Neodiprion lecontei: one gene and its partner. The protein of the gene in region 1 purifies or fractionates together with the protein of each later gene. This does not show direct contact. Links are inferred from orthologs where the notes say so. Each region holds a gene or a part of one and is shown in the gene's direction. Other genes may lie near its edges.

What was found. The genes of interacting proteins can lie anywhere in the genome.
Region 2: the proteins of histone acetyltransferase KAT8 (region 1) and male-specific lethal 3 homolog purify together in Homo sapiens (affinity purification with mass spectrometry; 4 studies listed by BioGRID and IntAct, with this or other methods). This does not show direct contact. The link is inferred for Neodiprion lecontei from reciprocal best matches to the Homo sapiens genes KAT8 and MSL3.

What each region holds. Positions count from the first base shown.
Region 1 is NC_060260.1:7,854,669-7,860,802, forward strand, and holds histone acetyltransferase KAT8, read left to right. Parts: upstream 1-1,915; 5' UTR 1,916-2,421; coding exon 2,422-2,608; intron 2,609-2,869; coding exon 2,870-3,129; intron 3,130-3,221; coding exon 3,222-3,312; intron 3,313-3,484; coding exon 3,485-3,612; intron 3,613-3,910; coding exon 3,911-4,141; intron 4,142-4,230; coding exon 4,231-4,475; intron 4,476-4,578; coding exon 4,579-4,798; 3' UTR 4,799-5,634; downstream 5,635-6,134. Other genes in the region: D-amino-acid oxidase, read right to left, coding at 5,689-5,799, 6,127-6,134.
Region 2 is NC_060263.1:31,054,404-31,060,213, reverse strand, and holds male-specific lethal 3 homolog, read left to right. Parts: upstream 1-1,709; 5' UTR 1,710-1,826; coding exon 1,827-1,928; intron 1,929-2,067; exon of another isoform or gene 2,068-2,209; coding exon of another isoform or gene 2,210-2,311; intron 2,312-2,391; coding exon 2,392-2,460; intron 2,461-2,652; coding exon 2,653-2,762; intron 2,763-2,974; coding exon 2,975-3,155; intron 3,156-3,357; coding exon 3,358-3,543; intron 3,544-3,657; coding exon 3,658-3,962; intron 3,963-4,103; coding exon 4,104-4,325; intron 4,326-4,486; coding exon 4,487-4,680; intron 4,681-4,839; coding exon 4,840-4,924; intron 4,925-5,014; coding exon 5,015-5,102; 3' UTR 5,103-5,295; downstream 5,296-5,810. Other genes in the region: protein TEX261, read right to left, coding at 82-303, 431-510, 878-947; ATP synthase subunit O, mitochondrial, read right to left, coding at 5,404-5,810. UniProt on the Homo sapiens protein: Non-catalytic component of the MSL histone acetyltransferase complex, a multiprotein complex that mediates the majority of histone H4 acetylation at 'Lys-16' (H4K16ac), an epigenetic mark that prevents chromatin compaction.

The sequences.
Region 1 (6,134 bases):
TATGTATACCTACCAAAAGCTTCGATAAAAGATTAATAACAAAAAAAAAAAAAAAAACCGCGAAATTATTATAGCATACGAAGTATAAATTGCATTTATCCCTTCCACCTCAGATTGTTAATACACGTGTTTTTTTCAACGTGGGTTTCATCATTTAGGCACATACATATTTACTCACAAAAATAAAAATCCTCCCGGCGAACAACCAGACGTGTCCGGATGATCTCTTAAATAAGCTGTAAAAACAAATTCAGCAATTTTTCTTCATTTTCTTTCTTCCCAACAATATTTCCCACCCTCTTTCCACCATCTCATTTATCATTGATCTACACTGTACGTACATTATTATTGTTACTATAATTATGATCGCGAATTTCCGACTTCGAAAAATTTATCGCCTCTTCTTTACACAAAATTGTAATATCATCTCTAAAGTAGACACGTTGAATGCTCAATGAAAATTAGCCATAATCTGTAAAATTTGATTAAGAAATTAAAGACTTTCGAAACAAGCCCCGACATTGTGGTATTTACTCGTTGGAATCTCAAGGCATTGTTTGAAAAGTATTCTTGCAAATCGATTTGATAATAAACAAATGTGGGACCTAACTCATACGGTATATTATAATCATTAGAAAACCAAGTCAGCTGTAGATGCGGTACGACACATAAATATAAATGATAAACGTGTTTCGTATTTCGTCACACGTTTGTGGTGACCTCGCGTAGGTATACCAGTAATTGGATTAGCCTCTATTCAGAGTGTGTAAAAAGCTCCACGTATGCGTACAGGGGGTATGTAAGAATTGGATTATTAGTTTCGGAAGATATCAACGCGTCGTTTTATCCGTACGCGCGTCATTGGGAACGCGGCTGATTGGCATTACAATTGAAGCCGTTTTTCGTCCCGAATATCAAACAGGAGATGAAAAAGTTGTACGAGATTCCATTCGACGATCGATCTCGACTCTGAACTCCCTCCACGAGAATGAGAATCTTCGTTTCTACGTACCGTGCGTATTACGGCGTGCGATTATGGTCAGCTTTATCGTTTTCGAGTAACGATAATAGTTACAAGAATATACCTACGTATATGTAGGTACAGAAAGGGTCGAAAAAAAAGACGCCTGATTCGGACAAAAGAACGTCTACGTAAGACCGAGATGCATCGCGTGCGAGGTTCATGCATGACTATCACAATTTAACGCACGTGAACAAACGGCGTTGACTATCTTGTAATATTGCAGGTGCGGTGCATTATACGCACGCACAAGTTGTAGCATGAAAAAATTGAAAAGGGTTTCGGGGGGGGGGGGGGGGGGAAGACTCACCTTTTCTTACGCAGCTAAATATCTTGTAAAAATCAATAGAATCGGCGGTAGACATTATAAAACTTGACTGCAATCACACCTAAACACAACGGTGTATGAACCAGCACGCGCACATGTCACTTTAGGATTTACCAGGATTTAGTATTCAATTGTGAATTCTGATGCACAAACCGTCTCACGCGTCGTCGTTGATAACCGAACGGTAGATTATATGTACATGTATGCGTAGCGGTGCATCAATCTCACAGAATCCCGTACACTAAACCACACCTCCGCTTCTCAATGTTCTTTACTCACTGCCTACACGGCTACACCACCACCACCACCTGTCTCTCTGTCATTCGAATATTCAATAGCTCGGAACAAGGACGGAACATGCGTCGTGACGTCAGCCAACCTCTCGGCAACCGGCAACGGCGACTGAAGATATACGACTGTCGTTTGTTACAGTGCGACATTAGCGGCCGAATTTTAAACTATGTGTTCGATTCTGCGACGGTGGCCAGTTTTCGACCGAAACTGGCGCTCTCTGGCGCGAACGAGGTTGTCGGAACTAATATTGGTGGTAGTGTAGTGTCGGTACCGTCGGTAACCACGGTAATCGACTCCTATTTCCATCAAGAAAGCAGTGTGAACAGTGGAGAGCGAATTGAGGATTGGAAATTACTCATCAGCGAATGACTCTGGCCTTTGAAGCGTTTGCTGAGGATACATATCCTTAGTCAACGGTTGAAGTTTGCTGATGTTTGCCATTTGTTCATTCTCAAACCTCAACTCCTACTATAATCATTCGCCATTTTAAATGCGCTCTGCATTATACGCTGCTTTCATTATGGCAAATGCGGGTCGGTCTCGAGCCGAAGATTTCCAACATGCGCTTACGATCGAGGACAATCGAAAATCAGTCCTAAATATTGTAAAAATCTATATGGCGGCAGATAGCGCTAATACTAAAGAAACACGGAAAATATACAAGTTTTCTGTCCGTCCTTTCGTCTCTAATTTTTTCGATGACACTGGTGGCACTAGTAATGGTGGCGCCAGCTCCAGGAGTCTTGTTTTACTGTTGAATTCGTGAATTGTTATTAAAATGGCGGACACTGACCACAAGGGTAAAGATAGTTCGAGCGCGAAAGAATCGGGGGTAAAGCCGGAAAATCGTGAGAACAATTCAACGAACGGTGGTAAAGGATCTGGTGATGACGCGGATAGTCTCGAGGAGCAGCCCTTGGACATCGGGGAACACTACTTGGTCCGTAGGTCGGATGATTCATGGCGTGAGTACTTCAGATTGTGAAGTAGGTTATAACAGGAGGACTATAACGCGTCTTCGGACTATGCTCCGGACGCCAGACGTACGATCAGCACATATCAGACAACATGCATCTACGTGTGTCCGGACTTTTGGCATATTTTGTTCTACCTATACTTGCGAAAAGTTGAATTTCACTTTCAGGCGTTCAAATAGTGTTTACTTACATTGGTAAACAAAAGCTACAATCGTCACGTTTCATTCAACACTAACGGCACAATTACAGATCCGGCGGAAATCATTCAAACGAGATATAATGAGGGGGAAGGCCATTATGAATACTACGTGCACTATGAAGGATATAATAGAAGATTGGACGAGTGGGTACCTAGAGACAGGATAATGTCTAGCAGATTTGACATGAGCGATCAGAGCTGGAAGAATAGCGACAGGAATCCAGCTAGTGATTTGTTAGCAGATTCATCGGACAGGAAAATAACGCGAAATCAGAAGAGGCGACACGACGAAATAAATCATATACAGAAAGTGGGTATAGCTGTTAATTTCATTTATTTAGCACAGAATGAACTATTTAGTGGAAGATATTATCGGCTCTGTAATGCCCATGTATATAATAGACCTACGCAGAAATGGATCCAACTACTGCTGCCTTGGAGAAAGAACATGAGGCCATAACGAAAGTGAAATATATTGACAGGATACAAATAGGTCAGCTTTAAATGTTACTTTACAAAATATTTGTAGATTTTTGTAAATTATTCGTAAAACAATAGAAAACTTAACATTTCATAAAATCTCCTCAGCTTATGTTTATAAGTACTTTAATGGAATTTTTTCTTGTGCCTTACCTCTATTGTTATGCTGAAACTCATTTTTTCAGGGCGATATGAAATAGACACGTGGTACTTCAGCCCATACCCTGAAGAATATGGTAAACAGCCAAAGTTATGGATATGTGAATACTGTCTGAAATATATGAGGCTCGAGAAAACTTACAGATACCACATGGTAATTAATCTAATTTAGTTGAAATTCATTGAACATGTATGCACACAACGTTAAAACTTCTAAAGTCAATGTGAGAAAGTGCTTTTCAAAAAATGCCTCTATTGTCAGATTATAATTCTCCGAAATACAATCAGCCATCAATCATAACGTCAGTCATACTAATTTTACAACTCTCTTGAAAACTACCTGATTCTAAATTTACCAAACACTGTTTTAAAAATATACTTTGTTACGCTAACGTTACCACGTTCAACGTTGCGTGCACAGTTTGCATATTTACATTTTAATTGATTTTCAGAGCGAATGTACTCACAGGCAGCCTGTTGGCAAAGAAATATATCGCAAAGGTACTCTGAGTATCTGGGAGGTTGATGGAAGAGAGCACAAGATATACTGCCAGAATCTCTGTTTGTTGGCCAAATTATTTCTGGATCACAAAACATTGTATTTCGATGTTGAGCCTTTTCTATTCTATATTCTCTGCGAAGTGGATAAACATGGAGCTCATTTAGTTGGTTACTTTTCGAAGGTATTAATTCTCAAACAAAAATATTATTTTTACCACAGTGAAGTCAGCTTCGCTTGTCCTCTAGCAATAAAACAAAAACTTTCATTCAGGAAAAAGAATCGCCGGATGGAAATAATGTTGCTTGCATTCTAACTCTGCCCCCGTTTCAACGACAAGGATATGGGAAGCTGCTCATCGCATTCAGTTATGAATTGAGCAGGATCGAGCAAACTGTTGGAAGCCCCGAAAAGCCTCTCAGTGATTTAGGAAAGCTTTCGTACAGGAGCTACTGGAGTTGGATTCTCCTGGAGATATTAAGAGATTTCAGAGGAACACTCAGCATCAAAGATTTGAGGTATAAAATTTACATTTTATATTTTATTAGTTTATGTCGATTTGCTTAATACTTGAAATCTAAGTGTAACTTATAGTGAATGAAACACATAATATTGTTACAGTCAAATGACTAGCATCTCACAGACTGACATTATTTCAACACTCCAAAGCATGAATATGGTGAAGTACTGGAAAGGACAGCACGTAATTTGCGTGACCCCAAAATTGGTTGAAGAACATATCAAAAGCAGCCAGTTTAAGCGACCTCGTTTGACAGTTGACTCGAGCTCCCTACGATGGGGGGCACCACCGCGTAAAAATATAAAACCAGGAAAGAAATGAATACAGTTGACGGCAAATTACGATAGTCGAACTAAAATTAACAATAGCACTATCATCCTGGTACATAAATTATTTTGTTCCGTATCATGAGAGTGTTACAGCATTTGAGGATGATTCAATTTATCAGCTGTAATTTATCAACAAACAAAATCTATGTGTATCAACGAACATTACATTTTTTATTTATGTAATAGTTGATATATCCATTAGTTTGCTACGGAATTATGTCGACTTTGTGCAGTTGAGTCAGATCACTGAAAATCGGCAAGATAGTTCAAATTGCTACCTCTAAATTACATACTGAAGCGTTGAGAGAGTATGAATGACGAATGTACGAAAGTAAAAAGGGAAACATGTAATTTACTATATGAATATATTACGATACATTTTGTGCGATTTGATTGTATCAGTGTTATCGCTGTACGTTAAAGAATTTCCTAATTATTTCATGCCCGTAGTTTGTTGCGTGAAAACTTCGTTACTGTGTATTAAAAAATTGTGGTAAAGTGCAGTTTATGTGAAGAAATTTATAGATCTTAATGGAAAAAATGCAACAAATTTCAAGTAAGGAAAATTCATTTCCTGTATCGTTGTAATATTATATTTTACCCATGAACTCTATGTGTATAATTTTAAGTTATATCTAGTTTTTGTATTTAGATCATAGACATGAAGGAAAAACAATTTACCATCGTATACGCTTATTATTGTTAAACATACATAGTACACACTTTAGAGTTAGGGTTGAGAATTACATTCGAAAAAGCCACATAGTATTGTGTGATTCTTATATATTTTTTGTAGAACAATTATTATTAAAATTAACAATGAACCGACACTAATTCTACTTCATAAAATCCTGTCCATTGTTATTTATTGAAGCATACAATTTAGAGCTTTGACGAAGATATTTGAAATTCCTTTGCCCAATGAACAGCATATTTAGCTGTACCCGGTGCAGTGCACACACCGTACCCTCCATGACCATAGTTATGAACCACCTGAACAGTTCATATTGAAATATTTAATAATTTCACAACTCGTAATTGGGATCCAAGATAAGTACGGGACTGAGCGATATATGGCTGTCAAAATCAGAAATTCGGCATATTATGGGAACACCGAAGCGTAGAACGAAGTACTTCATTCCAGCTATTATTAGTTTTTGGTTTAGTGTGTAAAGTAAACCGCACTACAAAAAAGTGTAATGACTTTCTACGTGTAGCAGATCGAGTCACTTAATATATTGGATTCCAATTCCTGAATTTCCGAATTTATTTATGATTTCGTTACTTCAAAAAGAAATACGTTTGTTACTGGGTACCCACTTTCATTT
Region 2 (5,810 bases), on another chromosome or scaffold:
ACCTCATTGAAATTACATAAGATTTAACCCACGTTGTAAGAAATAATAGATTCTTGCAAGACCATTAATCGAATTGCATACCTCTGAAAAACTGTAGTGGACAGATGCAAAGTATGTGAATGCCAGGTAATGGTTAACCACTAGCATGATTATCGAGATGATGAACAGTGGCGAGATGATCTGGACGTACGGAAACGTTTTTAGTATACAGAAGTGTGCTACTTGGGCGATGATTCCACATATTACCATACTCGTTGGCAGGTTTTCAAATAATAAGAACCCAATATGAATTCCGAATGTGACCTAAAATTTCACCAAATTCCACAAATTATAATGTAATAAACGAAACAAATGCTCTGACTGATTTCTCTAAGGAATCGCAGATTAGGCTGCTCAAAAAGTTTATTACGAAAATGCATCCGCAACTTACAAGTATGACACCTCTTATTATTTTTTTGGACAGAACGGTATATTCCTCAACTAATTCCGCTAAATAGTACAATCCGGCAGCTGAAAAATATTGAAATGCATTATTAGACTTTAGAAAAACTTTGAATTCTTTAAATACTTATTCTGTACCTAATAAATTAAAAGTTACGTAATTTATGTAATATTTATTTAGGCTTTGTACAGATTCTAAAACTGTATGACTAATTTGAAATCCCATTTTTGGTTAATAGAAATGAATCAGGCAGTAGCTGAATTATTCGGTCAGGTAGTTTGTTTAAAAATATATTTTAGAATCAGTTAATCTGCCTGACTTTGTCAGTAGAATGATAGCAAATTTGAAATAAACCTTGGGACCCCGGTTAACCTCTTTATTCACAGTACAGCAAAATAAACATAAGTTATAAAAAATACGCATCTAACACAGTACCTGTGGAAATCGTAACAAAACATATTTGTACGAATAAGGAAACCCAACTTAACACGTAAAAGAACCACATTTTAGAATTCGTTCAACTGCACAGACAATAATGCATCTTTTACATTCCATAAGAATGGATTTACATGATAATTTATAGAAGATTTACACCCTGTCACCCTCTATCTAAAGCCTTAACCACGGTATAATAATGTAGGAGGTGCTTCCACGTGTAAAGCTCTGTGATTATTTGACAAGGTCTCCTGGCTCTCCGCCAGGCGTCTCATGTGACGAAAAGCCAGAATATAAACAATAATGGCGTTGCTTTCCTGAATGCTTTGCACGTTTCACGTATATGCTTAGTTGTCACGATGCAAGAATAAGAAAACATGAAGAGAACGCATTTTTCCTATATCTATAATTCGTGCCTGATGGCAATTTTATTTCGGCTCACGGAATGTTTATTTGTTCAGGCACAATTCACAATTGCCCCGTTTGCCCGTTACTACGTTGACTCGATGACTGAAGCAACGGTTATTACAATACAATGTAATGGGAAAGTGCTAATGTGTACTCTACGCCAACACGGGTGTCGGCATTTAGAAACACTGGTATTGTTGTTTGGCATTTCCAAAGACGACAGTTTATTTAAAAAGTGTTCTTGACGGATTGCATGTGACATTAACCGTTGCTTTAACTTTTGCGTGAATACAAACTGTTCCGAAATATGCTTGAAATTTTCGCGGGTGGTGGCTCTTACCCGCATGCGACACCTACAGACTACTTTAGTGAAATAATCACAGCGTCCAGCGCGAGTCGGATCACCTCTTTACAACCGAAAGCTGTATGACTAGCGAAGAATTTCTGCAGGCATATATGAAAGAATGGGAATCACTGACAATCAGCATCAACGAAACTTGAGAACCTCGGCGGACGCTTCAAGTCGCACTGTGAGTCGACGATGGTGTCAACAAGAGGTCCTAGGTTCAAATTTTCTGACGGTGAAAAAGTGTTGTGTTATGAACCAGATCCAACAAAGGCTAAAGTCCTCTACGACTCGAAGGTATCAACAGATGAGATTATTATTCATGCCTTAGTTTGAACGGAAAAAAAAGCACGAAAGTTTTGTTATTCTGCCTAAGTACAACCTCTATTTAGAGCAGGGTGACAATATTTGACATTGAACATCAGCAGGATGAATAATAGGGTGACAAATATTTAAGCTCGGCCTTACTTCCTTCACTATTGGACACTGCGACACCAACATCGAGTATTTGTTTATTTATGATAGCAGTGCCAGAACGATAATCTCTCATTGTATGGGACAATTTAGTTTGAGTTCAGATGATTGTTAACATATGTGGGTTGCCAGGTTTTGACTATTCTAATATTCTGAAATTCGATAATCTAATTACATGTGGCATTACATACACTATTGTCAAATTGGTAATTTGGAGATGATATACTGATTATTTAATCCTGCTTGATTAACAGCAATTACTTTTAATCGAACATTTTTGTCTCAGGTGTTAGATGTGATCGTCAATAAAGATCAACGAGGTCGCAAAGCAGTAGAATATCTGGTACATTTTCAGGTAATGAAAAAATACATCTTTATAGATGTAATTACTGACTGGCTATTATTCAATTTCATCTTAACTGAAAGGATTAATTACACCAGATGTTCAACATTCATTAGTGAAATAAAGATTCTTATTTCAAAATCAATTACCTATATATCTGAGTTTGAATACTGATTGTATGAATAAAAGTTATTCTTAAAATAGGGATGGAATTCGTCTTGGGATCGATGCGTCACAGAAGAATATGTTCTGAAGGATACGGAAGAAAATCGCCAGCTACAGAGAGACCTTGCCCAAAAAGCCCAACTTCAACTGTGAGAACAAAGTTAATAAGTCTGTTACCAAAAAAAGTTCAGCAAAAACTTATCACTTTTTAGGAAGAGTTAACTGTAAGCAATATCAAAATGACCTAATCTAACGATCTGGTGTACCTTTGAATGTGAATGAAGTAATCTATTTTTTGGACAGGAACATCTAATTTTGAATGTATTTGGCTTTTACTTGACTAAAAACTTATGTTTCAAAGAGGTGCATATCTGTACCGAAGAGAGCGCAAAAAACGCAGCCACAAACTGTCGGAACGTTCAGTAGGATCGGGACCGGAGCCTGGGCGCAGGGCCAGGAGTGGCGGTAGCCGTGCGACATCAGCAACTACCGGATCTTCCGAAGATGGCAGTTCTGGTCAACACGATGATTATGATACCGAAGTATGACGTGTATTATACTATTCGCCACCTTTACCCTCTGCCCATACAACACACAAAATTTTAACTGTTTTTTATCGACATTAGTCGAAAACTTAAATCCCTGTATATTTTTTCATTGGCTTTACGTTAGCCTGGACTTTGGAGCTCTATATTACGAGTTATTCAATTTACAATTATAATCACTCTGTTTGTTTTTCAATAGGAGGCTGCAACAGAGGAAGATACAGAAAGTAGTTCGGAGTATGGTGATGACAGTAGCGGAGGCGATGAAAGTGGAGGTGGAAGTCACTCTGGTGGAAGTCATCGACCAGGAATAGATCTTGATATTGGTGCTACCTTGAAACGCTTATTAGAACAAGATCATGATCTCATAACTCATAAAAATAAGGTATGTCTCGTATACAGCTAGTTGTTGACATTTCGTTAAGTTTCCTTGATCATAGGTAATTTAACGATTTTATTTAGCCTCACTGTTTTGATTAAATTTACACATATTTTTCAGATTGCTGTATTGCCAGCTCAGCCAACAGTATTAAATATTTTGGAAACATGGGTGCAACACTTTACTACTACCCAGTTAACAAATATTTCCGACAAACCCCAACGAAACAAATCAAATCATACCATTGAAAAAAGTGTTAGCGATGTTAATATCTCTAGAGAAGTCGCAGACGGATTGAGGATTTACTTTGACTTTACATTAGCTGACCTTCTGTTGTATAGAGAAGAAAAGGAACAGTACGAAAGCTTTCGATCATCCTATCAATACGTTGATCTTGCACCTCCTCTTAAAGAAGAGTCCTTTGAGTACGTATGTGTTATTAAATTTACATGTGCGGTTTCAATAGGGTGACTCGCATTAATTGCAATGTTTTCCAGTAACTGCCGATTTGCCCACATCAGATATTTATATCTATTACTTGACTAGTAGTTCACTTTGTGTTCCAGTAATGCAGATCAGAATGTCACAATCAAAGAAGAACTTGAAGATACAGAATTTGCTCATTTACCACCGTTCAGAGAGCATGAATCTGAACTTGACAACTCATCACCCAAACCGCCTGTCGAGTCTAAGCGTAGATTGCGATCCTGTAGAGTGAGCTCTATGGATGAAGGAAGACAACTTCGCTCTTATGATGAAGTTAAACAAGAACCAGGCAATTTGTCGAGGTGCTGCAGTTAATTTCCCTTCGCCATTGCCAAATTTAACAATGTATGATATACAATGTATTAGTCAAGTTCCTAAGAAGCTGCATATTGTTGAAATTGCCCATTTCTCTTTGACAATGGAATTCATCAAAAAATTAAAAAAATTCTTTTTCTCACCCTAGCATAGCTAGTACAAGCTCACGATGTTCTAGTCCTCGTGGCTTGCCTTTAAGACTACCAATAATTCCGTCAGCGCAAATTGGCGCTTTACTTCAACAATCAAATGCGTGGCGCTTAGTACCTGAATCTGCGAAGCGTCAAAGTCCTTTGGCTCCATCTATGTATTATGGTGCGATTCATCTGACACGACTTTTTGGTATGTATCTATCTCTGTCCGCTGTTGTACTATGAACTAAAATCGTATTCACTGCATATTGACATAAAGACTGCTTCGTACCGAATGGAGTGTAAAATGGTAATACTAAACATATTAGGTATATACTTTTTTTTATAAATTTAATTCGTTTCATTCCAGTGAAACTGCCTGACTTATTACAAGCTGCGGACATGCCTGAAAAAAAACTGAAGACACTTTTGAAGCACTTAGATATGTTTCTAAGGTAAGTGTATAGATTTGCAATAGAGATGTAGATACGTAGCAAAAATTTAGTTCGTAATGGTCCTTCAATGAATCCTTTTGAAAATTGCAGTTTCCTGGAAATGCATCGAGAATGGTTCGGTGAACAATTTTACACACAAGCAGAGAATGTACCCCTGCAACAGACTGTGAATTTATAGTGGCCCAAGAAAATTTGAAAGATATAAATCTACTTTAATTTTCTACAACTTTTTTAAAAATATAATCTAACCTCCAGTATGACATATACCTGCGAAACTGAATGGTGACTCTAATTAGGAAATTTGAGGTACTATTCACTATTGTTAACGTATCAACCAATGCAAAATAAATTTTATCAACACTCCGGGTATCATATCGTTAACTTGTTTCATTTATTGCGATTAACCGTATTGTACAACATAGTTGTATTCAACTACACGAAGAGAAGACGTTTATGGCCCAAATAGGGTCAGGAGATGATTACACAGCAGCCCTGATGATGTCAGAATATTTTTTAACTTTGCTGGCAACACTCATGTCGACATATTTGTCTCCAATAGAAACAACCATGCCTCCAATAATGGCTGGATCAAGTTTAGTTGTAAGAAGAATGGTCTGTCCCTGTTTGAGGAATCCTTTAAGAGTGGCTTCCAATTTGTTCTTGGTCTCTGCGTCTAATGGCTTCGCAGTGGTAACTTCGCAGACTACCTCTCCTCGGTTTGCTGCCATGATAACTTTGAAGGCATGGACAACCCCATTAATGTTCTTCAGGCGCCCATTCTCCGCAAGTAAAGATAATAAATTGGTGGTGGCCTGGTTTAGACTAGCTTTAGTACCAACAGCCTTCAGAGCATCGACCTTAATACTACGCTTGATAGTTGGGTCCT